Macaca fascicularis: one gene and its partners. The protein of the gene in region 1 interacts with the protein of each later gene in a pairwise test. Links are inferred from orthologs where the notes say so. Each region holds a gene or a part of one and is shown on either strand. Other genes may lie near its edges. The genes, in order: LMNA, VAMP4 and ZSCAN12.

What was found.
Region 2: the proteins of LMNA (region 1) and VAMP4 interact in a two-hybrid assay, tested with the Homo sapiens proteins (2 studies listed by BioGRID and IntAct, with this or other methods). The link is inferred for Macaca fascicularis from reciprocal best matches to the Homo sapiens genes LMNA and VAMP4.
Region 3: the proteins of LMNA (region 1) and ZSCAN12 interact in binary tests that used the Homo sapiens proteins (3 or more experiments, as listed by UniProt). The link is inferred for Macaca fascicularis from reciprocal best matches to the Homo sapiens genes LMNA and ZSCAN12.

Annotation. Positions count from the first base shown.
Region 1 is NC_088375.1:104,960,449-104,971,162, forward strand, and holds the start of LMNA (lamin), read right to left. Parts: upstream 5,753-10,714; 5' UTR 5,545-5,752; coding exon 5,189-5,544; intron 1-5,188.
Region 2 is NC_088375.1:29,352,072-29,362,785, reverse strand, and holds the start of VAMP4 (vesicle-associated membrane protein 4), read left to right. Parts: upstream 1-5,455; 5' UTR 5,456-5,625; exon of another isoform or gene 5,626-5,909; intron 5,910-9,091; exon of another isoform or gene 9,092-9,095; 5' UTR 9,096-9,140; coding exon 9,141-9,206; intron 9,207-10,714. UniProt on the Homo sapiens protein: Involved in the pathway that functions to remove an inhibitor (probably synaptotagmin-4) of calcium-triggered exocytosis during the maturation of secretory granules.
Region 3 is NC_088378.1:144,777,852-144,788,565, forward strand, and holds the start of ZSCAN12 (zinc finger and SCAN domain-containing protein 12), read left to right. Parts: upstream 1-5,447; 5' UTR 5,448-5,643; intron 5,644-6,377; 5' UTR 6,378-6,445; coding exon 6,446-6,847; intron 6,848-10,714. UniProt on the Homo sapiens protein: May be involved in transcriptional regulation.

The DNA of each region.
Region 1 (10,714 bases):
CCTGGGGTGGGGCCCAGCTGCAAGCCTGGACTCTAGATGGGCTTCCCTGGTGCTTACAACCTTCCCATTCTGCCTGCACTTGGGTATCCAAATCCCTTGGGCTACAGACTAGAAAGAGACAGAGAAGGGGCAGGGGGGACCAGGTATGGTAGCTCATGCCTACAAATCCCAGCACTTTGGGAGGCCAAGGCCAAGGTAGGTGGATTGCTTGAGCCCAGGAGTTCGAGACCAGCTTGGGCAACACGGTGAAACGCCATCTGTACAAAATATATAAAAAATTAGTGGCCAGGTGCGGTGGCTTACGCCTGTAATCCCAGCACTTTGGAAGGCCAAGGCGGACAGATCAAAAGGTCAGGAGTTCGAGACCAGCCTGGCCAGCATGGTGAAACCTCGTCTCTACTAAAAATACAAAAAATTAGCCGGGCGTGGTAGCAGGCGCCTGTAGTCCCAGCTACTCGGGAGGCCGAGGCAGGAGAATCACTTGAACTTGGGAGGCAGAGGTTGCAGTGAGCCGAGATCATACCACTGCACTCCAGCCTGGGCAACAGAGTGAGATTCCATCTCAAAAAATAATAATAATTAGCTGGGGGCTGGGTGCGGTGGCTCACGTCTGTAATTCCAGCACTTTGGGAGGCCGAGGCAGGTGGATCATGAGGTCAAGAGATGGAGACCATCCTGGACGACATGGTGAAACCCCGTCTCTACTAAAAATACCAAAATTAACTGGGCATGGTGGCATGTGCCTGTAGTCCCAGCTAATTGGGAGGCTGACGCAGGAGAAGCGCTTGAACCCAGGAGGTGGAGGTTGCAATGAGCCGAGATCGCACCACTGCACTCAAGCCTGGCGACAGAACAAGATTCTGTCTCAGAAAAAAAAAAAAAAAAAAAATTAGCTGGGCATGGTGGCACACACCTGTAATCCCAGCTACTCAGGAAGTTGAGGTGGGAGAATCACCAGAACCTGGGAGGTTGACGTTGCATGAGCTGTGATCACGCCACTGCACTCCAGCCTGGGCAACAGAACGAGACCCTGTCTCAAAAAAAGGAGAGAGAGAGTACTGGGAAAAGGGGTTTCTTCTTGGAGCCTATAATCCAGCCAAACAGAAGGTCCCCCAAACTCCTGAGTGTGGTTGAGGTACCCAGGCTAAGTCAAAAATTGCTACAGGATCTTACAAACAATTCTCCATCCCAACTCCAAATCTGGCCCTGAACTCTGAGCTCTAATTAAACATTAAACCAGACAACACCTTTTCTCTAGGCTTTGGTGGGAGGGGTTGGGAAAATGCCTTTTTTCCTCCCCCAAATTCTTTACCCACTTCTCTACCTCACCCTGAGCACAGCAGACCCAACAGGGAGTGACCAATCCTGGCTCCTCCTACTGTGGGCATAGAAGAGGACAGACACTCCAGTCTGAGTCCCCTTTGTCTTCACCCCACTTTCTATCAGCTTGGGATCCAGGTGTGCAAATCCACCTCTCTTTTCCGGAAGCCCAGCCTTCCCAGCCAGGATCAGTGGGGGAGAACAGAGGCAGGTGGCTAAATATAACAAGTACACACAACACCCCCGCCCTGCCCCATGTGCGCACATACCCGCCTGGTGTCCCAGGCCTGGACAGCTGCACTAGGAGGCAGAGGAGACAAGCTGGCGTGGTTGGATGAGCAAGACTATCGAATCCATTCAACCTGTTTCCTGATCAAAGTTTTAACCAGAAAACTGCTAAAACTGCTAAAAATGTCCTTCACAGGGATTTGGTAGTTGAGTGGAATGGTTAAGAATGCATCGAGGCCGGGCGCGGTGGCTCAAGCCTGTAATCCCAGCACTTTGGGAGGCCGAGACGGGCGGATCACGAGGTCAGGAGATCGAGACCATCCTGGCTAACACAGTGAAACCCCGTCTCTACTAAAAATACAAAAACTTAGCCGGGCGAGGTGGCAGGCGCCTGTAGTCCCAGCTACTCGGGAGGCTGAGGCAGGAGAATGGCGTGAACCCGGGAGGCGGAGCTTGCAGTGAGCTGAGATCCGGCCACTGCACTCCAGCCTGGGTGACAGAGCGAGACTCCGTCTCAAAAAAAAAAAAAAAAAAAAAAAAAAAAAAAAGAATGCATCGAATTCTCTGGGTCTCCCCTTCCTTGCTTCCTTTCTGTCTTGCTAACTAAATTGTTCATATCACTAGTAGAAAAACGACAGGCCTGGCGTCAAGCCCGGTGGCTCATGCCTGTAATTCCAGTGCTTTGGGAGGCCGAGGCAGGAGGATTGCTTGAGGCCAAAACTTCAGAACCAGCAGAGCAACATAGCAAGTTTCCATCTTTACAAACAAAAAGGAAAAAAAAAAAATTAGCCAAGCGTGGTGGTGCCTGCCCTTAGTCTCAGCTATTTGGGAAGCTGAGACGGGAGGATCACTTGAGCCCAGTAGGAGTTCCAGGCTGCAACAAGTTATGATTGCACCATTGCGCTCTAGCCTGAGCAACAGGGCAAGGCCCTGTCTCTGAAAAATACAATAAAAATAAAGAAAAGGACAGGTGCGGTCTCCTTCAGCAGAAATAAAGTTTGAGGTTGGGCCCAGTGGCTCACGCCCTGTAATCCCAGCACTTTGGGAGGCCAAGGCAGGAGGATTGCTTGAACCCAGGAGTTCAAGAGCAGTGTGGGCAACTTGGCAAAACCCCATCTCTATAAAATAATACAAAAACATTAGCTGTGAGTTGTGGTGCTTGCCTGTGCTCCCAGCTACTCAGGAGGCTGAGGCAGGAGGATGGCTTGAGCCAGGGAAGTGGAGGCTGCAGTGAGCCATGACCTTGCCACTGCACTCCAGCCTGGGTAACAGAGTGAAACCCTATCTCAAGAAAAAAAGAAGCCAGGCGCAGTGGCTCACACCTTTAGCCCCAACACTTTGGGAGGCGGAGGTAGGCAGATGACTTGAGGTTAGGAGTTCGAGACCACCCTGGCCAACCTGGTGAAACACCGTCTCTACTAAAAATACAAAATTTAGCTGGGTGTGGTGGCCGGCACCTGTTGTCCCAGCTACTTGGGAGGCTGAGGCAGAAGCATGGCTTGAACCCAGGAGGCAGAGGTTGCAGTGAGCCGAGATCACACTACTGTACTCCAGCCTGGACAACAAAGCGAGACTCCGTCTCAAAAAAACAAAATAAAGGTTGATGGCCGGGCATGGTGGCTCATGCCTGTAATCCCAGCACTCTGGGAGGCTGAGGTGGGTGGATCATTTGAAGGCAGGAGTTTGAGACCAGTCTAGTCAACATGGTGAAACCCTGTCTCTACTAAAAATACAAAAAAAAAAAAAAAAAAAAAATTAGCTGGGTGTGGTGGCTCACGCCTGTAATCCCAGCTACTCGGGAGGCTGAGGCAGGAGAATCTCTTGAGCCTGGGAGGTGGTGGTTGCGGTGAGCCAAGATCGCACCACTTCATTCCAGTCTGGGTAACAGAGTGAGACCCTGTCTCAAAAAAAAAAAAAAAAGAAAGAAAGAAAAAAAGGTTGAGCCTGTTTTCCTACACACAACTTCTACTGACTCTTCAGAAAGAAGGGCTATGGGCCCGGCGTGGTGGCTCGCGCCTGTAATCCTAGGACTTTGGGAGGCCAAGGTAGGTGGATCACCTGAGGTTGGGAGTTCAAGACTAGCATGACCAACATGAAGAAACCCCTTCTCTACTAAAAATACAAAATTAGCCCGGCATGGTGGCACATGCCTGTAATCTCAGCTACTTGGGAGGCTGAGGCAGGAGAATCGCTTAAACCTGGGAGGCAGAGGTTGCGGTGAGCCGAGATTGTGCCATTGCACTCTAGCCTGGGCAACAAAAGCGAAACTCCATTTTCAAAAAAAAAAAAGGGCGATGGATCTGCCACACCCACCACACCTAGCAAAGGGTTTTGGGAAGAGCAGAAGTTTGGAGTAGTTGATAAAAGGGAGAGAAGAACTCAAAGCCAACAGCCCTTTATGGCTCTCCAAGCCCTGTTAGTGCTCTTAGCCTGGGTCTGCATAGAGAAAGGGAAGGCAGGAAGAAGGGAACCAAATTTTGGGGGGACTGGAAGAGGAAGGCCTATACTTCCAAGCTCCCAAGGCTTTTTTAGGAAAGAAGAAGGTGGAGTTGAGCAGGGTGGGGTAGGGTGGGGCAGGGGTGGGTAAAGTAGGAGTGGCCTGAAGCTTCCAACGGCTGGATTTCAAAAATGTCACTGTATTCCAGCACTTTAATAAGACAAAGATCAAAACGTCAGCAGCTAAGAGGATGGGCCTGAGCAAAGACTGCCTGGCCTGGCTGGGAAAATGAAAGTGGCTCACTCCAAGGAGGGAAGGACAGTGCCCCCAACCCTCGAAGACACGAGGCAGTGGGCCAAGGGAGGAGTGCGGCCAGACCTGGGCATAACACAACTTCCTGAGCTGGGAGCCTCTGCCCTCTGCCTCCCTCCCTCCCTTGCATTCCTGGGCCAAGCAGGCCAAGGGCTGTGGGAGCTGCGGGGGAGCCAATCTCCCGATCTCCCATCTCCCGGAGCTCTTTTGGTGGGCCTGTCAGAGCCCAAGGAAGGTCCCAGACACGCAGAGTGGCAGAGTGAGGGACAGCTTCCCAACCCTTAGAACCCCGGAAAAGGTCATGCCGAGGGGGCCACCGCCAAGCCCTCGGGAGGGAAAAGGGGGATTGCCCTGCCTTTCTCACCTCTCTCCAACACGCTGGACAGATGCCAGCTTGGGAGTCATGTCTTAGTGGGCATCATGTGTTCAGAGCCAGCTTGGGCAAAGCTGGCACCAGTGCCAAGCCCGCCAACAAAGTTCTAACAGGACCCTTTCTGCTACTCATATGTGTCCTGGGTGCCCAGAGTTCTTCGAGCTGGCAGGGCTAGTTCTGTTTTGCTTAAGCCCCTCCCGCAGGCTCCAAATAGCTGGCAAATCCCAATCTGACCGAATTCGGGCAGGCCCCAGCCCTAACTTGTCCCTGATACCCCCACCATTCCTTATATCCCCCCCGCCCTCTCCCAGAGACCACCTCTTCCCTCTCTGTCCTGTCTTGACAATTCCCCTTGACACTGCCAGTCACTCGCTGGGGGCAGTTCCGGGAAGGGAGGAGACTATGGCAAAGTTATCGGCCTCCAGGCCCTCTCACTCCCTTCCTGCAGTCGGCCAGGGGCGCCGGCCAGCCGCCCTCTCCACTCCCCGCCAGGCACGCAGCCACCTGGGCGAACTCACCGCGCTTTCAGCTCCTTAAACTCCTCACGCACTTTGCTCAGCTCCAGCTGCAGGCGGGCACGCTCCTTGGCCACTGAGTCGAGGGTCTTGCGGGCATCCCCGAGCTCGGCCTCGTAGGCGGCCTTGATGCCGGACACCTCGCGGCTGACCACCTCTTCAGACTCGGTGATGCGAAGGCGCAGCCCTGCGTTCTCCGTTTCCAGCGAGCGAACACGGTCGATGTAGACCGCCAAGCGATCATTGAGCTCCTGCAGGTCCTCCTTCTCCTGCAGCCGGGTGATGCGGGTGGGCGACAGCGGAGTGGAACTGGCCTGCGCCCCGCTGCGGGTGGCGCGCCGCTGGGACGGGGTCTCCATGGCCGGCAGGTTGGCAGCGCTGCCCGCGGGGCAGGGGTCCCGGAAAGGGCTCGGGGCTCGGGCAGAAGGACGGAGACTGCTCGGAGTCGGAGTGCGCCGGCCGGCTGGCTCTCGGCTTGCTACTGGCAGGCGTGGGGATCTGGGCCGAGCGCTGTTGGACCTCGGGATCTGGGTTGGCTGGTGTAGGTGCTGCGCTCCCGCGAACACTGAGTCACCGACGCCGGGGCAAAGGCTCTAATAGGTCCTCGTCTGAAGGGAGGAGTGGCCACTGCTCTTAAAGGGGCAGTCCCAGATCCATGGGGGTGGGGGCAGGAGTGGTGAGGAGGGGGAAAGACCGTTGGGGTGTGGCGGAGTCGAGCCCCACCCTCTCCAGCGCACCCCTAACTGCGTGAGGCTTAAGCTTCCCCTCTCTTGGCTGCTCAGTACTGCCGGCTCCAAGCTTGCCCCCATTGCCTCAGACCTTCTGGGCTAGAGGGCAGAGCCAAGGAGGGAGAGTGGGTGGGCAAAAGGGTGGGGGAGAAAGAGAGGGAAGTGGGTGCAAAGCAAGGGAGAGGGTCAGGCAGGCAGGGCTGGGAGCCAGGAAAGTGGGGGGAGGGCTGAGGCTGGTGCCCATCAGTGTGACTCACCCTTCTTCCACCACTGGCTCCCCCTGTCCTCCCAGTAGTAATAGTGAGTCACCCCAACCCCCCCTCCACACGTGGGCAGCCCATTCAGAGCTGCATCTCAGTGTGCCAGGAGTGGGGTGGAGAAGGAATGCCTGGGTTCCCTGGGGGGAACAAAGTTCTGGAACCTGAGTTCCTTTATGCCCCCAATTTGGGGCCAGGGATCAAGGAGTTTGGGGGTCCCTTTTTTGCTTTCTTTTGCCCCAATATATCTCCCTTCAAAACCAAGCATTCGTTTTTAGACCCAAGCAACAAGCCACAGTCCCCTAAAGAAGGCCAAGAATAGGAGCCAGGCACTTCCCCCTTCCATCTCCTGTCCCCTTCCTTTGGACCCAAGCACTGCTTGGGTTCCTTCCCCCTTCAGTCCCTTTCTACTGCTTACCCCACCCAGTCAACTTAATTTTTTTTCCCCAGAACTGTACTTATTTTAATGGATAATTTAAAACAGATACCAGAGCTGTGTGTGCATTCATTACGTTGCCAGGACACTAGGTCCCAGATTTCTGTGGTTCCCAGAGGGGCCTGAAAGGGGGAGCAGGGCTGGGGGCTGGACAGCCAATGTTGGGTCTCTATCCTGGTTTCAGCCAGAAAGAAGGTAGTAGGGGGTAAGAAGGTAGTGGGGGGCAGGAACAGCAAAGACCCCACAGCCTTGCTGGCTGCAAAGGCCAGCACCACATTCATCTCTACTTTCCTCTCTGGCCAGGTCCATTTTGCAGCTGGCTCTGGGGAGGGGCCAGGCTGTCTCACAAAACGAGATCACCCAGGTCCCCAGGGTTCGCTAGCTCAGGCTCTGGAGCCTCCATCCTCAGGCCTCACCAAGGACCCTTTTGATAAGCCTTCCACTCCCCTCCCCTCATCCTGGCCCCTATTCTGGTCCCATCAGCCACCTCATCCTCTATTTTTTTTTTTTTTTTTTTTTGAGATGAAGTCTTGCTCTCTCACCCAGGCTGGAATGCAGTGGCATGATCTCGGCTCATTGCAACCTCCACCTCCAGGGTTCAAGAGATTCTCCTGCCTCAGCCTCCTGAGTAGCTGGGATTATAGGCACCCACCACCTTGTCCAGCTAATTTTTTATTTTTATTTTTATTTTTATTATTTTTATTTATTTATTTATTTTTTGAGACGGAGTCTGGCTCTGTCACCCAGGCTGGAGTGCAGTGGCACGATCTCGGCTTTTATTTTTATTTTTAATAGACATGGGGTTTCACCATGTTGGTCAAACAGGTCTCAAACTCCCGACCTCAGGTAATCTGCCTGCCTCAGCTTCCCAAAGTTCTGGGATTACAGGTGTCAGCCACCACGCCCGGCCCACCTCATCCTCTCTAAGAGGTGACAGCACTGAGGTCTGGGCCCCATCTGCCTGCATGCCCTGCCCAACTGCCTCCCACAGCTTATCCTCCGATGAGCAACCAGGAAAATCAAATTACGTTGCTACCTTGTACAGCTCCAGGATATCAGGACTTCTCTCAAACACAAGGAAAGCAGGGCTGGACAGGCCCTCAGTTCTGGGTTCTGAAGCCTGGCCTTGGGGTGGATGAGGGACTGGAGTGGGATTAAGGCAGGAACTTTGGTTATTAGGGGAGGAGAACAAGGAAAGTTCTCATCTCAGTGAGGGTGCCTGGGCAGCATGGTGAGCATTAGGGATGCACCCGGGTGAGGGGGCCCAGAATATGGCTTCTCTGCCCCAGGGCGTGGCACCCACCCTCAGCTTCCCAGACAATAAAAAGTCTTGTTCTTCTCCAAACCAGAAGCAGAGGCAGGAGGGGTAAGAAAGTGAAACATGAGGGAAGGGCTCATGCTGTTCCCACTGCCTCAGCCCCTCCCTGGCACTCAGTGCCCCCCGTTTCCCCTACAAAGCTGCTCGGCCTGGCTTCCCTTCCAGGCTGGAAAGCAAAACCACACTTAACCCTTCCTATCCTAGACCTCCCCCCTCTTTTTTTGAGAATCTTGCTCTGTCACCCAGGCTGGAGTGCGGTGGCAGAATCATAGCTCACCGCAACCTTGAATTCCTGGGCTCAAGTGATTGTTTTATCTCAGCCTCCTGAGTAGCTGAGACTATAGGCTACCATGATAGAGATGGAGTCTTGCTATGTTGCCCAATTTGGTCTGTAACTCCTGGCCTCAAGTGATCCTCACCTCAGCCTTCCAAAGCACTGGGATTATAGGTGTGAGCCACTGTGTCTGGCCAGACCTCCCCATCTTGTGGAAAAGGTGCAGGAGAAACAAGGAGGGCTTTCACCCCACATTTTACTACAAGCTCTTTCTAAAGGTTCCCTGCCACCACTATCAAAATGGCCTTAATCCTAAATCTGAACTTCAAAGTGAACCCTTATCCTGAATATTCAATCCTAACTCTGGACCCCAGATGTTGTAAGTCTGCTCTCCCTTTGCCAGGGCAAAAATCACCAACCCAGAAGCAGCATCCAGGTCCAGAGGAGCTGAGCCTGCTGGAGGTGAGAGGTGAGGGGAGTGGTGACTAGAGGGTGACCAGGTTCTAATCCTACCTCTTAATTGATGGGTGATGCTAGATCCGCTACTGAATTCTCTGGACCTCAGTTTCAGTAGGGCACAGTGGCTATCAAAGACAGGGACTGAGCTCCTGGGTGTGCAAGAGTTCTGCACATTGTGCCACAGGGTCATGGCAGTACTATGCTTGCTCTCAAGGGAGCCTCCCACTAGTGGGGAAGACAGAAGGAGAAGCAAAACCAACAAGTACAGATGATTAAAGTGCAGTGGAGGACTCTGAATTGGATGAATTCCAAAGGGATCCCAGAAGTCTGGGAGCTGGAGCATTCATGAGTGAAATCAGAATACAGTGGTTGGGTCCAAGGGACAGTTTGAGCTTTTTTTTTTTTTTTTTTTTTGAGACAGAGTTTTGCTCTTGTCACCCAGGCTGGAGTGCAACAGTACAATCTCAGCTCACTGCAACCTCTTTCTCCCAGGTTCAAGCGTTTCTCCTGCCTCAGCCTCCCGAGTAGCTAAAATTACAGGCGTGTGCCACCACGCCCGGCTAATTTTTGTATTTTTAGTAGAGACGAGGTTTCACCATGTTGGCCAGGCTGGTCTCGAACTCCTGACATCAAGTGATCCCCCGCCTTGCCTTAGCCTCCCAAAGTGTGAGATTACAGGCGCGAGCCACTGCACCAGGCGTGGGCACTTTATCTTGAAGACCAATGATCTTGGTGGGGGTAGGGGGGCTTCTCTGTGTTCTTATAGCATCCTGGTCTTCCCTCTGTGACACAGCAGGCACTCGGTGGGTGTTTCTATTCTTTTTTTTTTTTTTTTTTTTGAGATGGAGTCTTGCTCTGTTGCCCAGGCTGGAGTGCAGTGGCACAATCTCAGCTTACTGCAAACTCTGCCTTCCAGGTTCAAGCGATTTTCCTGCCTCAGCCTCCCGGGTTGCTGGGATTACGGGCACCCACCACCACACCCAGCTAATTTTTGTATTTTTAGTAGAGACGGGGTTTTACCATATTGGCCATATTGGTCTTGAACTCCTGACCTCAGCTGATCTGCCTGCCTTGGCCTCTCAAAGTGCTGGGATTACAGGCATGAGCCACCGCACCCAGCCTCTTTATTTTTTTAAGAGATGGGGTCCCACTATGTTGCCCAGGTTGGTCTTGAACTCCTGGGGTCAAGTGATCCTCACCTCAGCCTCCCAAAGTGCTGGGATCACAGATGCCAGTCACCATGCCCAGCCCTCTCAGGGTTTCTTGGATAAACAAATGCATCTGGCCCTGCCAGTTTTCAGGCAGCGACTCTAGACAAGTTTTTGCATTTGTTTCTGCTTTAGTTTCATCATCTGCAAAATGAGGATGTGCAATAACTAAATAAGGTAACATATATTTGAAGGAGGGCTTCCTGGAGAAGGTAGATTTAGGGGCTTTACAGAGTTGCCTTATACATAGAGAATTCACTCGTTCAACAAATATTTACTGAACATCTACTATATACCAGGAACTATTCTAGACACCAGGGATACAGTGAATAAAACAGACAAAAATCTCTACCCTTATGGAGCTGACATTCCAGTGGAGGGAGACAGTCTATAAACCAAAGAAAAAGTTATAGTTTGTTAGAACATGGTAGGAGCTATGGAAATAAAAATGTAAAGCAGAGGCTGAGCATGGTGGCTCACGCCCATAATCCCAGTGCTTTGGGAGTCTGAGACAGGCAGACTGCAGATTGTTTGAGCCCAGGAGTTCAAGACCAGCCTGGCCAATATAGCGAAACCCCATCTCTAAAAAAAAAAAAAACAAATTAGCTGGGGGTGGTGGCACGTGCCTGTAGTCCCAGCTACCCAGGAGGCTAAGATGGGAGGATCACCTGAGCTTAGGAGGTCGAGGCTGCAGTGAGCTGTGATTGTACTACTACATTTCAGCCTGAGCAACAGAGTGAGACCCTATCTCAAAAAAAAGTTACATATATATGTGTATATATATATACACACACACACATATACATACACATGCACACATTTAGCAGAATAGTGCTCACACAATGAATA
Region 2 (10,714 bases), about 76 Mb from region 1:
ATGGATGCTTTGATAGAAAATAATATTGTATCAATGTTAAATTTTCTGAATTTGACAACTGAATTAGAGTTATGAAGAGAATGTTCTTGTTCTTGGTGATACCTACTGAAGTATTTAGGGGAAAAGAGGCATGACATCTATAACTAATTCTCAAATAATGCATGCTGGGGGGAGATACATATTTCAAAGAGAAGTAATAAAGCAAACTTAGTGAAATGTTAACAAACCACGTAAACTCTCTGGCACTCTGTTTCTTCATCTGCTTGGAGATAAAAAGAGGGCTGAACTATTTTGGTTTTATTCACACTTTCATGAAATCCATTTAGGAGTTGAGGTCAGCATTAGAAAAGTGTTATTAATGAATCTGGATAAAGGATTTAAAAGCATTTAAAATCAAAACTAAAATAAACTAATACCATATTTATATAACACCAAGGCACTCTAAGCATGAAAAGATAATGGTTAACTACATGATACCTGTATACTTCCTCTCCAAACTAATTGAGTTATATGCTTACAAGAGTCAATTTGCATTTGTACTCCAAAGTATTTATGTCTATTATACTTATAGAATCTATTTAAATATGTAAATAGATTTCTAATGAAATACAAATAGAAAGTTATTTTCTATAAAAACTAAGTTGATTAACATGAACAACAAATAAAAATTACTGTAGAACTAGGCATAGGTAAGGCAAATCTGTAAAACTTTGGAGAAAAAATTGTACAAAAATCTAGACTGACTGGGCATTCAAACTGCTTGAAAGGTGTCTTTAACTTCTTGTTCCACCTTGAAGAAAATGAAACTGGAAACTGTAAACAATGCAAATTGTAACAAAGACAAATTGTTCCAACAAGCAAACTCATGCTCAGATAAAAGGTCTTGGGCCTACTACCAAGACTGGTGAGTGAACATATAATTATACATTTGAGTCAAAATAAAATGACTAAAGTATATATTTGCCATTTTAAAATATGTACCACTATAACTGACTTTTTAAATTAACTGATCAATTGGTCCCAATTTTAGGGGAAGAGAGTGCCTCCACTATTGTTTTAATTGAAAAAGTACTATACATGGTAAAGATAATTCGAATGGTACAAAACACTACACATCAAGAAAGTTTCCCTTCTGTATTAGTCTTCTAGGGCTGCTATAATGAAATAATATGGACTAGGTGGCTTAATTACAGAAATTTATTTTCTCACAGTACTAGAGGCTAAAAGTCCAGGATCAAGGGGCCATCAGGCTTGGTTTACTGTGTGGCCTCTCTTTCTGGACTGCAAATGGCCATCTTCTGTGTTCTCATATGGCCTATTCTCTGTGCCCATGCACTCAGACACTAGCTCCATAGGATTAGGGTTTTGCCCTTCTGACTTCGTTTAACCTTAATTATTGTCCTAAAGGCCCTATCTCCAAATCTAGTCACACTGGAAGTTAGGACTTCAACATATGAATTTTGAGGGGATATAATTCAGTCCGTAATACTTTCCATGCCAGAATCACCGTCCTACTGATGTGTGTGTGTGTGATGCTCAAATGGAAGTAGAGTCTACACATTATTTTGCACCTTACTTTTCTCACCTTATAGCATCATACAGGTATTCCATGTGAGCACATATAGATCTATCTAGTTTATTTTAATGACTACATACTATTCTATTGAATGGCTACATTATGACTTATTTCAGCGATTTCCTATTGCTGAACAGTTAAGAGGTTTTTTTTCACTCTATTACAAAAATCCTGTAACAGATATTTTTATAGAATACTTTTATATACAACCTGTATACCCATGGGATAAATTTTAGAAGTAAAATTGTTAGATCAAAAAGAACTTCATATAAAGTTTTGATACATATAATTACCGTGAACTTTTAAAAAAAATGCACCAATTTTTATACTCCTACTAAGTGTTTAAGAATGCTTGTTCCGGCCGGGCGCGGTGGCTCAAGCCTGTAATCCCAGCACTTTGGTAGGCCGAGGCGGGCGGATCACGAGGTCAGGAGATCGAGACCATCCTGGCTAACACAATGAAACCCCGTCTCCACTAAAAATACAAAAAAATTAGCCGGGCGTGGTGGCGGCGCCTGTAGTCCCAGCTACTCGGGAGGCTGAGGCAGGAGAATGGCGGGAACCCGGGAGGCGGAGCTTGCAGTGAGCCGAGATCGCGCCACTGCACTCCAGCCTGGGCGACAGAGCGAGACTCCGCCTCAAAAAAAAAAAGAAAAAAGAATGCTTGTTCCTCCCACCCTGCTCTCATACTACACACACACACACCCCCCCAATACTGTAGTATCAATTTTTTTATTTTTGTCATTGAGCTGACACAAAGGACCAAACTGTCAAATCAGAGATTTTACTCAGTATCAAGCTTTACTAATAATTTCAAGAATACCAGTAATTCCCAGGTCCTTTCTTCTTGCTTTGGATGCATCCTGGCCCAGGACAGATGTGGTTTCTAAACCAAGAATATAGTCATCCCACTTACACAGAAGGAGCCAACTCAGTTACAAAACACTTCCATTTTACGCTAAGTTATATAACTTCCGCGGTATTTTCCAGTTAATCGTACCCCTGAAATCCACACTGATTCTGTTTTGTTTTGTGAGAGGGAGTCTCGATCTGTCTACCAGGCTGGAGTGCGGTGGCGCGCTCTCTGCTCACTGCAACCTCTGCCTCTCCGGTGCAAGCGAGTCTCCTGCTTCAGCCTCCTGAGCAGATGGGATTACAAGTGTATGCCCCCACACCCAGCCAATTTTTGTATTTTTGGTAGAGATGGGGTTGTACCATGTTGGCCAGGCTGGTAAGTCCTGACCTCAAGTGATCCGCCTGCCTCAGCTTCCCAAAGTGCTGGGATTACCAGATCGATTCTTAATGTGTTTACCATAAACAATTCCAGGACAATCCGGGACATCTTGATAGAGGAATTCCATAAATATGGACTCTTCAGCTAGCAAATACCACTGGTCTGTTTGCCAGGAGGTCTGTAATTACCATATTTATAAAAATTACACGCTCGCTTGCTTGCTCTCCTGAGAGTATTTCCCTACGAGAGGAGAGACTGGATTGAAGATCTTCTGCTCAACTCCTTTCTCAGTCACTGATAGAGGAAAAATGGTATTTCCTTGTTCACTTTTACATTTTAAGTAATGTTGAACATTTAGCAATTAAATATTGAAAGCTAGAAGGGAGATGAATCAAGAAGCAATTACCTTAGCAGACTGGAAAAGTAGGAATTCCAAGCAGGCCATGAAGCAACCTGATGCACACAGTGAAACCCTGCACAAGGCTCAGGAATTGGAAGCACCGGGTAAAGCTGAAGAGAGCATGATGTGAGCTAGAAATAAAGGGGGAATGGTAGAAAGTCTGTTTAAGAATGAATCAGATGCTCAGATTCCCTTTGTTATCCCATCAAAAGCCCAGAGATTTAGTCTTGGGAGAATAAGCAAAACGCTGATTCTCTAGCTCGGAGGACAGCAGGCACTCTTAAGGATGAAGGTGTCACGTTGCAAAAGGGGAAAAGAAAATTAGAGGACTAACATCTGAATAACTGAAGCTCACTAAAAAGAAAATGGAGGAAATAAGTAACTCAAGTTGCTTATTGAGTTACTTATTTAGAGTTCTGATTCTAAGCTCAGTGCTACTTATAATCTTTTAGGCTTACTGGTATATTTGATTCACGTTAACTGTAAAATGACATTTTCTAAGTTTCGCAAATATTGGGGATAGTCAAAGGGACTTTGTTCAGGTGATTAAAGGGTGGGACTTGCATTACCCCTCTCCTAAGTGACCATTCCAAAATGACTGGTGGGACTAAAGAATTATGGTTAAAAAACAAAGAAACCCAAAGAAAGGATTATCCATAAAAGCTATGCAATGACGTGCTGTTGGAGCTCACTGACCACACCTTAAGTTGTCTATGCACAAAAGACGAGGCTATAACTAGCTAAAGCTCCAACTGGCTAAGGCACCAAAGCCAGAAAATATCCTATAACATGCAAATATATAGACATAAAATCAACTGTAAGTGCTGGGCACAGCTGCTTGTGCCTGTAATTCCAACTACTTGGGAGGCAGAGGCAGGAAGATCACTTTAGACCAGGAGTTCACAGCTGCTGTGAGATATAATTGTGTCACCGCACTCCAGCCTGGGAGAAGAAGTGATAACTCGTCTCAAAAGAAAAAATCAGCTGTAAAAGGAAAAATGATGTCTGGGTTACCTGTGGAGTCTGGGGGTAGTCCCACTATCACGCCTAGACAGAGATATAAACCATGAGAGGTTTCTAAGTGGGCCGTTTCAGTCCAAGTCAGCAACTTGGCATAAACATAGGCAACTGAGTTTAGCATCAAGCTTTCAGAACCTTCAACTGACAACCCAACGGCTGTTTCTAAATCTCAGACCATTTAAATCAGAATCTAGGTAACACGTGGGCACCTACGCAGTTTTAAAAGCTTTCCAAGTGATTCAACTCCAAGTGAATCAGAGTTGAGCATCATTGCCTTAGTCATGGCATTTTTCAAATTCGTTAGTACAGTTTTACATTAAAAAAAAAATCAAAAGAAGAGCAACTTTTTGGTAAGAGGGTGTCTATTCTTTCCTTTCCTTTAGTGTCCTCAGATCTTTCCTCCTGCTGTTTTGTCTACTCTTGTTCTTGAACACCCCCTCTTATTTTTATATCTTTAGAAAGTGCCTGGCAAAGCATTTCAGACAGTTAAAATACTCTATCAACAAAGGACCCATAGACACTGTATTCATTTTAAAAGATGTGTAGTGAATATGATTCAATGAGTAAAATAATCCAGCTGGGGCGTGGGAGGAATGGATAATAAAACAAATAAGAGAACGGAAAAACAAAATTAGGACTTGTTTTTGGTAGCCAGCTACAGCGGGCTTCGAGATCTAAACATGATACCAAATTGGGCGGAGGGGGAGGGAGTGAGGGAGGAATGGGCAGAGTGGCGGAATGGCCTGGCAAGGGCGATTTCCCTGAAACCTGAAGGCTTTCAGGTTACAACTAAGGGATACCAGGAAAAGAACACCGAGCCCTCGTTCCGTATCTATCTAAACTAGCTGTGTAACTTTAAGTCAGTCTCCTCTCTGAACCAGATATTCCACCTATCTAAAGGGAGGAGCCTGGCCTAGGAACCCCTAACATCTCTTTCCAAGTGTAGCTAATTCTGTAAACAAGGGATCGAACAGATCTCCTTTCTTCAGAAAAGGCCCCAGACGAACCCGAAGCAGGTCCACCGGATCGCGACCGGAACCTGGAGAACCGGTGGTCGTTCCTCCCCTAAAGCACAGCATAACCTTGGAAAGCTGCACCTAAACTGCGTGTGGGTCCGGGCTCTTTTAGGCGAAGCGCGTTCGGCGGAATCGACTTCCTCGACTATCTCCGTGCCCTGGACCCGCCCTCTCCGCCTGGCGCCAGGCCGCCGAGCGCCGATCGGCTCGATGAGCGGAGGCGCTTCTGCGGCGCTGCGGCCGACGCCGGGTCTGCATCCACTGTCTCCCCCTCCCAGCTTTTTACCTCGGCTTCCCACTCCTTCCCCCGCCCGCCCAGCACCGCCCGCCCAGCACCGCCAGCCCGGGAGAGCTGCCGGGAGTTCCCCGGGAGCCTCAGGTACTGGCGCTGGCCTGTTCCCAGCGGGAGGGGCTGGTGTGAGGAGGAAGGAAACGAAGAAGACGCCCTGCCTCGCCGCCCCCCGACGTCCTAGTCGGGCTGGTCGGCCGGCCTCCGGCATCTAGGAAGGGACCCCGGAGTGGGAAAAGGCTGGGGCCCGGGGTGTCGTGAGGAAGGAAGACGAGGACAGGGGTGTGCGGACGGGGAGCAGTTGAGGAAGAGAAGACTTGGAATGGAAGGGAACTCTGGGTGATGGGAAGAAAACAGTGCCATGGATGGGGAAGGTTTGTTAAGAGTGGGATGCAGTCAGGAATGCCAGGGGGTACCGTGGGGCAGGAAGGGCCAGTGTTAGGAGCAGATATATCCAGGGACGTGGCCTGGTGCGACAGATTGGGTGTGGGGGGTGAACGGAGCTGCCTGGAATTGTGTATTTAAAGGGCTCAGGAGAAAGAGCGCCAACCCTGCTGTGTTTATAATGACCGGAAGGTGGGGGTGAATCGTTACACTTGACAGGTTTTGCAAATGACATCTCCGGTTTGTGTCCATCCAAGTCACTTTATTTCTGTGAAACTGCATCAAGCAAGACGGCTGATGACAGACAAGGAAGACGAGTCAGAAAGGGAATGGAGGCTGGGAAAAGGAGAGCCTCTGCCCAGATTCAAAGCTGTTGACTAGATAACGTACTACTTACAAAAATGCATACATAGACATTTAAGTATATGCCGATGTATAAGAAGCATACGGTGATGTGACTTTTTTAAGTGAATTTTATAGTGGTGGTCTATCCTCAATGTGGAAGTACATGATAGCTCTCTTATTTACATGTATACCTAGTCACAAACACCTGAATTCACATGTCTTTTTTGTAGGAGAATCTTAGGCGGACGATATCCTTGTCTACTTTCTGAGCATGATTCATTTCTACTAGTTGTTTGATACACATGTCATCAGTTACTAATAATCACCAGTTGCAAATAACGTCAAAGTTCATCAACGTAGCTAATTAATCTGCCTACTGCTTTGCTGATGGGCTTTCTATTTGTTGCACATGGTTTCCTGGGATTAAGAGACCTGAATATGGGGTTTGCTCCTCCTTAAGATTGTAGTTTTACCCTATGTCTCATAAAGGCATTATATAAGTCAGCCTGTTGTTTGCTTTGAGATGTTGAGGGAGCCTCTTTGCAGGGGTTAAAATCTAAATACAGATATAGTTAAAAGCACAAGTTCTTCAGTAATTTGCCTTGTCATCTGTTTTTCCATGCATTCTGTTACATTTCTGCAAGAATTAAGTATTCTGAAATCAAAGTATGAGGAATAAAAGGGCCAGATGTATGTGACAGAAATATTGTGGAACCAAGAACTCAAGAGCTGTTAGGCAGCAAGAGTTTGGTTTTTGTTACAAGTGAATAATTTCTGATTTGGAAGCATTTCTTACCAAAGAAAAGTGTTTGTGTCCGTTTGTTTTGACAAGCAGCTGACTTAAAATATTACTTTTATTTGGTTCGTGAAACATGATTCTGGGATTATTCTTTTTTAAGTGTATATCATTAACCAACAAACTGATATCTAACTATACCTAATTTAAAGGGCTGTGTTTCTTCTTGTGGAGAAGGAAACAGGACTATTGGGTTGTTACCAGGAAGTGGGTCTTTCTAGAACAGAATTCTGTAAACCTGATGAGCAACTAATTGAAAAAAACAGTTAAAACTGATAATGCACAGCCATTGATTAATTTAGGCCTGTATCTCTGCTGTTTCAATGAGTGTAGTGACTAACGTTATCGTTACTAAACTTTAGTTTTCTCCTAGTTTCTTGGTGCCTACTTCAAAGAAGGGTCATAAAGAGTAAAAGAAAATGCATGCATATCACTGAGCACAGTGCCTAGCACACAGTATAACATTATTTCTGAGCTATCCTGAATTGCTGAGTATTCATCTACCATCTAGTCAAAAATACTGAAAATTCATTATTTGCATAGAACAACTTTTTCTCAAAAAAAATTTTTAATATGTTGCATACACAAGCATTTTCCTGGAAAGTCACAATGCATATTAGCATATAACAGGATGTGAGTCATTCTGTAGCAAAGAAAACTAGTTTTGTTTAATCCAGTTGTTTTGATAGAAGAAAAATTGAGTTTCTCCTATTCTCTCTCAACACAGAATACTCCTGTGACCCCAAAAAGACTTCTCCTCACAAGCAAGCAGGCAGTTCTGCAGCAGGTTCTCCAGCTGGGTGTTCTCTCATTCAATTCTGATACTGTATACCTAGAGATAGCATCAGATCGGGCAGGTTGAGGGCTTAAGCCTACAAGATTCCCCCCTTCAGGTGCCAGTCACAAGTTCCAGGTTGTTTTACCTGTGCTTCCAACTGACTGGCTATAAATCATAGTTCCCACAATCCCTTCCTTGTGTTCCATTTATTTGCTAGAGTGGCTCACAGAATTCAGAGAAACACTTTGTTTACTGGTTTATTATAAAGGATAGAGATCAACAGCCAGATGGAAGAGGTGCATAGGGCAAGGGGTACAGAGCTTCTGTGCCCTCTCCAGGTGTGCCACCGTCCAGGAACCCTCTACTTGTTCAGCTTTCGGGAAGCTCTCTGAACCCTGTCCTTTTTGGGTTCTATGGAGTCTTCATTAGTAGGCATGATTGATTACATCATTGGCCATTGGAAATCAGTTCAACCTGGAGCCCTCCTCCCCTCCCAGGAAGCTAGGGGGTGGGGCTGAAAAGTCACAGTCTTATAATCATACCTAGGTTTTTCTGTGACCAGCCTCCATCTTGAATCTATGTGGGGGCTAAGCTACCAGGCATCTTACTAGCATACACAAGACACATCACTGCAGGGATTCCAAGGATATGTCAGGAAATGGGGATTAAAACCAAATATATATATATATATTTTATAAATCACAATATCACACAGTACTTACCAAACTTACCCCTTTTTATGGAGTACCAATGGGACATTATAGTTTGCAGAATATTTTTGCATGTATTATCCAATTTGACCATCCCAACTCTGCCGAAGCCTGAAAATCACTATTTTACACATGAGGAAACTGAATCATTGTTTAAGCAGCCAACTAAAAGTGAGAGAAATAGACATGTTATCCTGTCTTCTGACTCCAAATTTAAATTGTAAAGCATTTAATGTCTCAGTGAGACATCTTCCCTCTACTGTCTGCTCTTTCATTTTATAAAAATCTATCTTAAGTCACTCATATCCTACACATGTTCTCTTAGGGCAATTACATCCATTTTCTCATAGTTTTAACTATTTCTTATGTGTTGAGGTCTAGCATGGAGGCCCCATTCACTGGAATGGAACAAGTGAGAGGGGAGGAACTGAAGTCAGAAAAATGAGGGAGTCACCATTATACGGGGTCTTGTGTATATTGTTTTAAGTACTTTAGCTTATACCCCAAAGTCTCAAATCTGATGAAATTTATTTTCTCTTTAAGGCAGTCATTATCCTGTTGAGAAGTAGAAAATACTTCACAAGTAAAAAATATGCCTCCCAAGTTTAAGCGCCACCTCAATGATGATGATGTCACGGGTTCTGTGAAAAGTGAAAGGGTAAGTTCAGAATCTTAAGCTTTAAAAACAAAAGATTCAAAATATGTTTTCATTCCCTTTGTAAATAATAGAAAAAAACCATCCGGGCACGGTTGCTCATGCCTGCAGTCGCAGCACTTGGGACACTGCAGCAGAATAGCTCGAGCCCGGAAGTTCAAGACCATCTTGGACAACCTAGGGAGACCCTGTCTCTACAAATATTTTTTTAAAAATTAGTGAGGCATGGTAGCACGCGCCTGTGGTTCCAGCTATTTGGGAGGCTAAGGCAGGAGGATCACCTGAGCCTGAGAGATAAAGGCTGTGGTGAACTGTGATCTGCACTCCAACCTGAGCAACAGAGCAAGACCCTGTCTCAAAAATTAATTAATTAATTAATAATAGGAAAATCAAAAGTTTATGACTATATTCTAATCCTAATTGTTTTCTTCATAGTAAATGTATTTAAAAACATGTTACTTAGATTGGTGACAACTGAATCCTACTTCTATTATTGATCAAATCATTATTCTCATAGCTTCTTTCTAGTTTTTGAAAGGGAGTTTTATACAAATACACAATATCTTTTTAAGAACTTTGAAGCTGAATATATTTGGAATTTTTCAGATTTTAGAAAGTTAAGAACATATTATGTAACAGCATTTTTGGGGCCTGGACCAGTGCCTCCAAAAATATTAGTATTTCTCAGTGAAGTGTATATTTAGTTATACCTAACTAATGTAAATAAAGTGTGTAAATAAACTAGCTAACATCAGTTCAGGTCAGAGTTTCCTCCAAAACCTTTTGATTTTCAGAAGCTTTTAGATTTTGGAATTCCAAATAAAGGTCTCCAGACCTGTAATTATCTTAGGTTCCAGAGTATCTTTCACATAATGCTTCAATTTCTAGTTTATTCCAGAACATTCTGTGCAAAGATACATGAACCTAGAAATTATGCAGCATTTTGAAAGACATTTTATATGAATGTTGTAGGCAGATTACTTTTAGAATAAATAATACATATTTATTGGGGGAAATAATTCACATTCTTATTTTTTTAATGCACCATTCTGAAGCCCTCCTTCCCTTCCTTCTTGCCTTGATTCATTCGACAAATATATATTGACCGCCTACTGTGTGCTAGGCACTGGGCTAAAAATTGGATGACATAATCTGTGCCTTTGCAAAGCTTTTAGTCTGCTTTGTTTTACATGCTCTTTTTGGACAACCTCAGAACTTCATATTATCCACTCTGTCCACCATCTTATGACTTTTAGCCCTAAGTTTATTTTAGTACAACACAGGAAACGTTTTCTTCCCCTTAATCTAACCCTTTGTACAGCTTTTTGGGTTTTGTGTGTTTTTGATGGTTTGTTTTTATTTTTTGAGACCAGGGTCTCACTCTGTCGTTGAGGCTGAAGTGCAGTGGTGCTATCACGGCTCACTGCAGCCTCCACCTTTTGGGCTGAAGCTATCCTCCCACCATAGCCTCCTGAGTAGCAAGGACTACAGGTGCATGATACCACACCCGG
Region 3 (10,714 bases), on another chromosome or scaffold:
AAGAGCTTCTGCACAGCAAAAGAAACTACCATCAGAGTGAACAGGCAACCTACAGAATGGGAGAACATTTTTGCAATCTACGCATGTGACAAAGGGCTAATATCCAGAATCTACAAAGAACTTAAACAAATTTACAAGAAAAAATCAAATGATCCCATCAAAACGTGGGCAAAGGATATGAACAGACATTTTTCAAAAGAAGACATTTATGCAGTCAACAGACACATGAAAAAATGCTCACCATCACTGGTCATCAGAGAAATGCAAATCAAAACCACAATGAGATGTCATCTCACACCAGTTACAATGGCGATTATTAAAAAGTCAGGAAACAACAGGTGCTGGAGAGGATGTGGAGAAATAGGAACGCTTTTACACTGTTGGTGGGACTGTAAACTAGTTCAACCATTTGGGAAGACAGTGTGGCGATTCCTCAAGGATCTACAACTAGAAATACCATATGACCCAGCCATCCCATTACTGGGTATATACCCAAAGGATTATAAATCATGCTACTATAAAGACACATGCACACATATGTTTATTGCAGCACTATTCACAACAGCAAAGACTTGGAACCAACCCAAATGTCCATCAGTGACAGACTGGATAAAGAAAATGTGGCACATATACACCATGGAATACTATGTAGCCATAAAAAAGGATGAGTTCATGTCCTTTGTAGGGACATGGATGAAGCGGGAAACCATCATTCTCAGCAAACTATCACAAGGACAGAAAACCAAACACCGCATGTTCTCACTCATAGGTGGGAACTGAACAACTTGAACACTTGAACGCAGGGCGGGGAACATCACACACCAGGGCCTGTCATGGGGTGGGAGGATGAGGGAGGGATAGCATTAGCAGAAATACCTAATGTAAATGATGAGTTAGTGGGTACAGCAAACCAACACGGCACATGTATACATATGTAACAAAACTGCACGTTGTGCACATGTACCCTAGAACTTAAATTACAATAATAAATAAACAATAAAAATGATAAAAAAAAGAAATTGGTTAGTAACTATAGCCCATAAAAAGTTACCTTATACTGTACATAATAATTTCCATAAAAATTGTTGCTATCCTGGCCTAAAATTTAGTGCAAATCCTCAACATCAAGCTTTTTCCTAACTGGAAATTTAAATATCAACTACAAATTAAAAATTGCATGTTGACTATGTCATTGAAACTCAGGAAAGTTAATGTTCTTAGGAAATAGTCTAATCAAACTGTTATAATCTAGTAAACATCTGATCTTGTTATCTATTGCTGCATAAAATGTTTCTCCAAAAGAGTGGAGAAAAACCACGCCATCATGTTTTGGGCCAGGAATTTGGGGAGGACGCAGCTGAGAAATTCTTCTGTTTTATGTGGTGTCAACTAAAGTCACTTGGTGGTATTCATCTGGCATTATAATTTGTCTGGAAAATCCAAGAAGTTTTACTGCCATGCCAAGTGCCTTGGCAGGGACAGCCAGAAAAGTGGGCTTAGCTGGGCTAATCTTCTCCATGTGGTCTCAGAGTTTCTTTATGTGGTCTTGGAGTCACATAAGGCTCACTTTGGGGTCATTTTCTCAGCATCTTGAAGGATTCTTGCAACTCAGTCACTGGAAAGCAGGGTTGATAGACTTCTTCCATGGTGGCTCAGGACTTCAAGAGCAATTGTTCTAAAAGACAAAAAGTGAAAGCTGCTGCTCTCCGAAGGCTCAGGCCAGAAACCATGGCATAACTTTTGCAGTATTTTATTGGTCAAATTAATGATTAAGCCCACTCAGATTCAAGGGAAAGTGACACAGACCCCACATCTTGATGGGAAATGTCAAAGAATTTGTAGCCATCTTTAATTTTCCACAATACCTTTATCCACCTCAGATTTAAAGTCTGAAGGAAAAATAAGCCTTTTTTGAAATCTTTTCCTAAATAACTTTTTTCTCAATTGTCTCCATCCCCTTTCAACCTCACTAAATAAACCTGGCACAATTACGAGCTAATCAAGTTTATACATGCTTTCATTTTCTTTTTTTTCTTTTTTTTTTTAGAATTGGCAAAGGCTTTAATACAGCTATTCTTTTTTTTTTTTTAATTTATTTATTATTATTATACTTTAAGTTGTAGGGTACATGTGCATAACGTGCAGGTTTGTTACATATGTATACTTGTGCCATGTTGGTGTGCTGCACCCATCAACTCGTCATTTACATCAGGTATAACTCCCAATGCAATCCCTCCTCCCTCCCCCCTCCCCATGATAGGCCCCGGTGTGTGATGTTCCCCTTCCTGAGTCCAAGTGATCTTATTGTTCAGTTCCCACCTATGAGTGAGAACATGCGGTGTTTGGTTTTCAGTTCTTGTGATAGCTTGCTAAGAATGATGGTTTCCAGCTGCATCCATGTCCCTACAAAGGACACAAACTCATCCTTTTTTATGGCTGCATAGCTGGGCTTCCAATATTACAGTTTTACCTTTTCTCTTAGTCTTTGAGTCCTAGCTCTCGACATCTGCTTTCTTTTCCCTTTTAAGTGCAGTTAGAAGGCTTATCAATATATCACAGGAAACTTTCTCCTTTTTAAATGTTAGAGTTATTTGGTTAGTAAAATGGCCGAAAAGTGTAATAACGTTAGACAAAAATTGTTTAAAATAAAGATATTCTAGAGATGCATTTTGTCTGCTCTTTGTCTCTATATCCTTGTGTTTCTCTAGTGTCAAAAGACGGAGATTGGTTTTACTCAGAGTTCTGTCTTAAGCTCTCTTTGTGCTTAGATGCTCTTTTCTTGTGGCTATGTTGCATCTGTGACAAAAAGTTGACTATTTCACCTAGGTCCCTGGGAACTATGCCAAGTCAATCATTCTTGGTGCAAGTTGACTTTTTAAGTGAGACTTTCATATCAGCTTCTTTCAGTAAGTCATGCCAAGTGAAACTTGGAAAATGACTGCATTGCAAAAATCCTTCAAGATGCCTAGAAAAGGACCCCAAAGTGAGCTTGAGGTTCACTTCCAGGTTGAATTCAGGTTGTTGTCCAATAATTTCTCTGTCTGTTGTTTTCTGAGATGTTCTATGGCTTCAGGTGACATTTGAGCCCTGACACGGTGTGAGGAGGGATCTCTCTCTCCCTTCTCCCCAGATGCCCTGAAAGAAGAATCTACAGGGCTGGCAGTAGGGGGCAAAGGGCACTCCAGAAATCTGTCCTAGGCTGTCTTTTGGCACCACACACTTCATGAGATCTCTTAATTGTTTTAACCATTACTGAAAGGTGGAAGGCTCCAAAATATGGATCTCAAGCTAACTCTCTTCTCATGACTCCTAAACCCACAAATCCCTAAACCAATCCGTTAACGAATAGCAACATCTACAGTGTAATGCTCCCTAGGATATCAAACTTAACATGGCCAAGCTGTGCTCATAAATTTCTTCTCAAAATGCTACTTGTCATTTAGTCCCCTGTCTTGGTGGAGGGACCACCATCCTCTGATGATACCAGGCTTCTATTTTTGGTTATCTTAACCCCCATACAATCAATGATGAAGCCCTGATCCATTTTTCCTCCTATTTCTCAATTTCATCCCCTCATATTTGGCATTTTAAAAATCAGGCCTCCCCCGATCCCATTTAATCTTGTGCATGTCAAAGTGTCTTTGAGATGGATTTCTAGAAGTGGTATTGCAGGAACAAAGGGTAAACTTACATATACAATTCTGCTGTGTAGTATTATCTTTCCTACCTATGGGTGGTACCATTTTGCATTCCCACTAGAATGTTAGGAGTTTCTCCTTCCTCTTGAGTAGAGTATGCTGTCAAACTTTTGGACCATTGCCATTCTGATGACTAATGGTACCTCAGTCAGCATAGTTTTTAATTTGTATGTTCATATTTTGAGCGAAGTTGAACATCTTTACAGATGTTTGAGGGCTGCTAGCATTTCTTATTCTGTCAACTATTTATTTCTTTTAGCCATTTTCTCTATTGGATTATTGGTTATTCTCAACTTTTAGGAGCTCTTTAGATATTTGGAAAACTAGCTCTTGCCTGTGATATGTTGCAAGTCTTTTTCTTTCCTTATTATTTTTTTTGACAAGCAATACATTTTATTTTCATGTAGTCAGATTTATTATTTTTATGAGTTTTGGATTTTGAGTCATATGGTTAGATGTTTCCCCATTCCCACGTGTTAGAATTATTGTTCATGTTCTCTTCTAATACATGTATAGGTGGATTTTTTACATTTAGATCTCAGATCCATTTAGAATTTATCTCTATTGTGATGTGTGGTGGGAAATACAAATCCAGTTTTACCTTTGACAAATGGTTGTCATCCCAGCACAACTTCTAAGTTCTTCATTTCTCTGTTGACATGTGGTGTCCCCTTCATCATTTACTCAATATCCTTACATACCTGGATCTATTTCTGGTCTATTCTTTCTCTCTGTTAATACAATAAAATCATATGGGTATGTTCCAGTATCTGATAAGGCTGACCCTCACCATTGTTCTTTTTCATGGGTTTCCTGGCTATTCTTATTTTCCCACTTGAACTTTATAATCAGTTTATCTAATTCCAGAACAATATTTGTTGATATTTTTGTTGGAATACTAGAGTTGCATACGTATTTAGGGAGGATTGACCTCTTTGAGTCTTTCTAAGAACCGCATATTGCTTTGTTTGTTTAAATGTACATCTGGCCTTTTAGGAGCTTTTTAAAGCTTTCTCCATAGAAGTTTTGTTCATTTCTTGTTAAGTTTATTCCTAGTTTCAATTTTTTGTTGCTATTGTAAATATAGTCTTCTCTTCCATTATATCTCGTAACTCGTTATCATTGATTATTCACATATATGAAGGCCATTGATTTTAGTGTGTTAACTTTATATCTTGCTAATTTACTAAATTATCCTTTTTTTTTTTAATAGTTTTTCCATTGAACCGGGTTTTCTGACATATAATCATACATCGGCGCATAAAAGAGAACATCAAGAGGATCGTGGATGGCGAAATAGCCGGCAGAAACCAGCCCGCTGGCCCTTGAGAAGTCTGTGTGGAAGAAATCCCTACGCCACCGCTAAGCGCGGATTTGGGAAGCTCCCCGGCAGAAGGTCCCCCGAGAACATCCCTTTGAGGCATCTCTAACCTCAGAGACACAGAATCCCAAAGTGAATGGAGACGCAAGGGATTTCCCTGTCTTAAGATCAGTTCTACAAGCCTTGACCACCCATCGGGCCGGGGGAAGTGTGGACAATGGCTGAGTAAAGAAGAGGAGAAAGATAAACCCGTTCCGTTTACCCGCGGGTCTGAGAGCCATCATCACCCTTCCTCTCACGTAGACGCGCGGAAACACTACTACCGAGTTGAAAGCCCCTTTCGCCCCCTTCCTAGAGCGGCCGCGGAAGTGCGCCCCACGCGGGTTGGTTCTCAGCCCTCCCGTGGCCGCTTCCGGCCTTTGTGGGTCACTTTTGATGGGTTCCGGGTCCCAAAAGGGTTCGAGGCCTTTAGGGGGGAGTTCTCTTCTGGCCCGGGGGGGCCGCAGGTGAGCGATGTTGTGCTCTGTATGCTGCGAGGAGGTGGGCGGAAGATTGCTGTATTCTAGTTGCTGGGCCCCTCGGCTCTGGCCGGTGCAGAATGGACCCTGGTCCTCCCAAACCCAGGTGGATCCGCGGGAAGCTCTCCCTCCCCAAAGTGCGCTGGGAGACTAGGATGAGGGATCGGCTCCCAGTCTGCAGCAATTCCGTGCTGTAAGGCCCATACCTACCTTCCGCGTTTGCCTCGGCGTTGTATCCTTGGGTTCAGCGCGTACCGACATTTCTAGACAGTGGTGGTTCACAGACGCTGGCCGGCGTCCCAGGGCCTTCCTCACTTCAGATTATAATCACAGACCATGAGGATAGAGGGAAGGCTTAAAGAGTAACCTCTTCAGCCTTCTCACTTTATAAATGAAGAATAAGGAGCGGAAAGTTTAAGTCCCTGAGGAAATAAATTTACATGACTTTGTTGCTTTTGTGATTTCATGGTTTCTACCAGACATCTGGATATTCAAAAGATAAAAGTAACTAATCAAGGATGTCCTAACCTTTTATCATTATTGTTTACTTGATCTAAATGTTAGTTTTATTCCATTTGCCTTTCATTTAGGACCAAATGAGAATAAGTTTACTAACAAGTCTTACTCTTCTTCTTAAAGTCCTGAAACAACTTGGCACCTTTCCTTAGTCTTTCTCTTTAAATTGGTCTAATCTTAAGTCTTTTCTATCAGAGTATTTTTCTGAGTAAGTATCGTACATTAACCTGGAGGCCAGATTTCAAAGATCATAGTTAAGTTCTCAGAATTTGCAGTTTTACTTTATGGTGGAGTTTGTGTTAATAATGATGGCTTATTCCTCAGGACTGTCCAGGAATAAATTTTCCAGGGGAGATCTTACTTGAAACACCGGTAGTTCTGGCACAGCTAAAATGGCATCTACTTGGGCTATCCAGGCCCACATGGACCAGGATGAACGTTTGGAAGTAAAGATAGAGGAGAAGAAGTATACCACCAGACAGGATTGGGACCTGCATAAAAACAACACCCATAGCAGAGAGGTCTTCCGTCAGTACTTCAGACAGTTCTGCTACCAGGAGACGTCTGGTCCCCGTGAGGCTTTGAGCCGACTCCGAGAACTTTGCCATCAGTGGCTGAGGCCAGAGACCCACACCAAAGAACAGATTCTGGAGCTGCTGGTGCTGGAGCAGTTCCTGACCATCCTACCTGAGGAGCTCCAGGCCTGGGTGCAGGAGCAGCATCCAGAGAGTGGCGAGGAGGTGGTGACTGTGCTGGAGGATTTAGAGAGAGAATTGGATGAGCCAGGAGAGCAGGTGAGAAAAAAGAGGTGACTTCTGTTTGAGAAAAGATAAATTGTGGATTTCTAGGCCAGAGTGAAGAACAGCCATTTTTTCACAAAGCATGTTTTTTGACAGTTTGATGCATCAGAAAGGGGCATGAGTTTCAGGGAAAGTTGGCTAATGTGGTCCCAACTTATTTATAACTTTTCTGTGGAAGGATTTTATATTTCTCTATTAAGCTACAAAATTCTGTTTGATAAATATGCTGCTCATCTTAGAAAACTTCTAAGACAAGAGAAGGTATCAGAGAGATGAAAGTAGCAGGATGGGAAGCAGTCTCTTGGAGGGGCATCACTCTGTTGCACAATACAAATAATTAAGAATTAAGGTTTTGCAGATATATCCATTGCTCTGACTCCATTACAGGGTTTTAAAATGGAAAAATTAACTATTTCAGGGGAATGAGATGTGGGAGTACAATGGAAAGTTAGTGAGGAGAGCAGGGTGGGGTTCTGTGTTTCTTTGAGTAGTAGAAAGCCCAGTTAGGCTGGAAAGGTGAATTCTGAGTAGAAGAGTTGAGATAGTGTCCAGGACCTTGAATCTCAACCTCTGGAATTGAGATTTTATTCTGTAGACAGACGCCCCTAACCTTTTCTTCTTGAGTCTAAATGAGCTTTACTAATTGTAAGATGTAAAAGAGAACCAAATTATATAGAACTTTTTTGTTTTGTTTTTAATACTAAAATGAGACAGTGGTTGTCAACCAGTGCCAATTTTGTGCCCCAGAGGGCATTGGCAATGTCTTGGGACATTTTTGGTTGTTATAACTCAGGGAGGTGCTCCTAGTATCTAGTGGGTAGAGAGGACAAGGCTAATGCTAAGCCTCTTACAACACACAGAACAGCCCCAGACAACAGAGAATTATCTAAACCAACATGTCAGTAGAGCCAACACTAGGAAACCCTGATATAAAGAGTTTGAAACTTAGGGAAATAATGAAATGGAAGTATAATCTAACACTGTGATACAAAATACAATAGAGAGGGTAGGAACATGTGGCAAAAAGATCTAAGTTTGAAATAAGATCACGAGGCCAGGCGCAGTGACTCATGCCTGTAATCCTAGCACTTTGGAAGGTCGAGGGAGGTGGATCACCTGAGGTCAGGAGTTCAAGGCCAGCCTGGGCAACATGGTGAAACCCCGTATCTACTAAAAATACAGAAATCAGCCGGGCATGGCGGCACGTGCCTGTAATCCCAGCTACTTGGGAGGCTGAAGCAGGAGAATCACTTGAACCTAGGAGGCAGAGGTTGCAGTGAGCCAAGATTGTGCCACTGTACCCCAGCCTGGGCAACAGAGTGAGACTCTGCTTAAAAAAAAAAAAAGAAACAGGATCATGAAAGTGTGATTACCAAGGATGAAGCATATCTTAGGTAAGAATTGTTTGGAAGTGATGACAGATTAGATCTATTAAATAAAGAAGGAAGAACCAATGGAGAACTCTTTACAGAGCAATGTATTCTAAGCTAAACACTAGGGATTTTAAGCTTGAAAGACTAGTATAATGGAGACACTCCTAACAAAGTTAAAGACTGTAGGAAATAATTAAGTACATATTTACTGTATGTCTGTTTGGACTAGGTACTGTTTTAGGCACTGTGAATGCAACAGCCAACAAAACACAGGGGGTTGCTATTCTTATGTAGATTCTGGTCTACTGAGGAGAGACAGATAGTAAATTAAAAATCAACAAACCAGCCCAGGCAACATAATGAGACCCCCATCTCTATAAAAAATACAAAAATTAGCCAGGCAGGCACGTGTAGTCCTAGCTACTTGGGAGGCTAAGGTGGGAGGATTGCTTGAGCCCAGGAGATCGAGGCTGCAGTGAACCGTGATTATACCACTGCAGTCCAGCTTGCGAGACACAGTGAGACCCTATCTCCAAAAAAAAAAAAAAAAAAAAAAAAAATCAACAAACATACAAGATGTAGGTGGTAATAAATTCTGTTCAAACAACAACAACAACAATAAAAGCAGAGAAAAGGAATAGTGAAATAAGTGGGGATTGTGCTGTTTTCTGTAGACTTGTCAGAGAAGGCTTTTCAGATAGGTGACATTTACAGGAGAAATCTGAATGAAAAGAGCAAGCCATACAGCTATCAGGGATAAAAGCATTCAGGCAGAGGGTCTTAAAGTGAGAATCTACTTATCACAGTAGAGATGTGTTTGTCAAGGAGGAGATGAAATAAAATCCTTATAAGATTATATTATGTCAGAACTTGTAGCAATTATAAGAATTTCGAATTGTATTCTGAGATGGAAAGTCACTGGAGAATTTTGAACAGAAGAGAGACATAATTTGACTTGAATTTTAAAATAGTCACTCTGGCTTCTGTGAGAAAGTTCCACAATGGGGCTGGGGTAGGCATAGGAGTAAAAGTTCGAGGCAAAGAAACCTTGTAGAAGCAATAATAATAAGCAATAATCCAGGCAAGAGATATTGGTGACTTGGACTAGAATAGTAGCAGTGGGAGTGGTAAAATGTGATTGGATTCTGGATGTATTTTGGAGGTAGAGCTTGACAGGGTTTGTTTTTATATAGAATGTGGAATATGAGAGAAAGTAAGTTAAGGATTATGCCCAAGTATTTGGTCTGAATATCAGATAGAGTGGATTTGTCTTTCATAGAGATGGTAAAGACTGGGAGAGAAGTGGGTTTGGGGTGGAAGGACAGGATTCTTAGATGCAGCCAAAAGTAATTTGGTTTTAAATGTGCTGAATCTGTATTGCCAACCAGTTCTTTCTCTGAAAGCACTGCAGGGGGCATCTAATGGAGTTTACAGCTTGATTTCTGAGGCCTGACCAGAGATCCAGGAATAGAAGGCACAGCTCACAGTACTGGCTTTTTCTCCCCGCTTTCTTTTTTCAAAATGTGAGATATCAAAACACCATTTTCTGTACATCTGAGATAGCATTTTGCTGACTCTGGCTTTTATTCTGAAGACTGAGTCTACAAAATGAAACCGTATCAGGGAAATAGAGGCAGTATATGGTGATTTCTTATTTATAAAATTTAACCTTTGAAGAGAATGGGGGAGTAATTTGAGAGCCTGTTGTATGCCAAGCCCTGTGCAAGGTGCTTTATACAAAAATTATTTATAATCTCAGAGAGAGTAAGTAACTAGCCCAAGGTCACAGAGCTATTAGACTAAGAGAGAGAGTTAGTAATCCATGTGATTCCATATCCCTGCTTTTTACAATACCTTGCTGAAGAAACCTATTATTTTTAAATGCAAGAGGAAATAGGCCCATGGAAGAATGGCAGCCACCCAGTGACTGAAATTGCTGAATAAATGAGTTAGTTAACTGAGGGAGCAAGGGTCAGAGGGAAGCCAAAAGTGATGGGATTGAAGGCAAAAGTAGAGATGTGAGCCTTGAAATAGAGAAGACATCATCCTCTAAGATAGAAGAAATGGAGAGGAGTATGAGGGTGGAGATAGATAAAATGAATAGTAGATGATTTTTGAGATGATTGTGATCTTGGATAAATAGAAAATAAGATAATCTTCCCAGAGAGAAGTGGGATGGGCACCTCAGAAGAGCAGAGACTATTGGGAACAGCTTAGGAATGAATATGGAAGAGATTTCTCTCCTTCCCTTCTTTTCCCTTTCTTTCTTCTCCCACCTTCTTTCTTTTCTTTCTCTTCATTTGTTCCCTTATACCTTTTGTTTTGTTTTGTTTTTGGAGATACGGTGTCTCTGTCACCCAGGCTGGAGTGCAGTAGTGTAATCATAGTTCACTATAACCTTGAACTGGGCTCAAGCAATCCTCCTGCCTTAGTCTCCTGAGTAGTTAGGACTACAGATGTGCGCCCCCATGCCCAGATAATTTTTAAT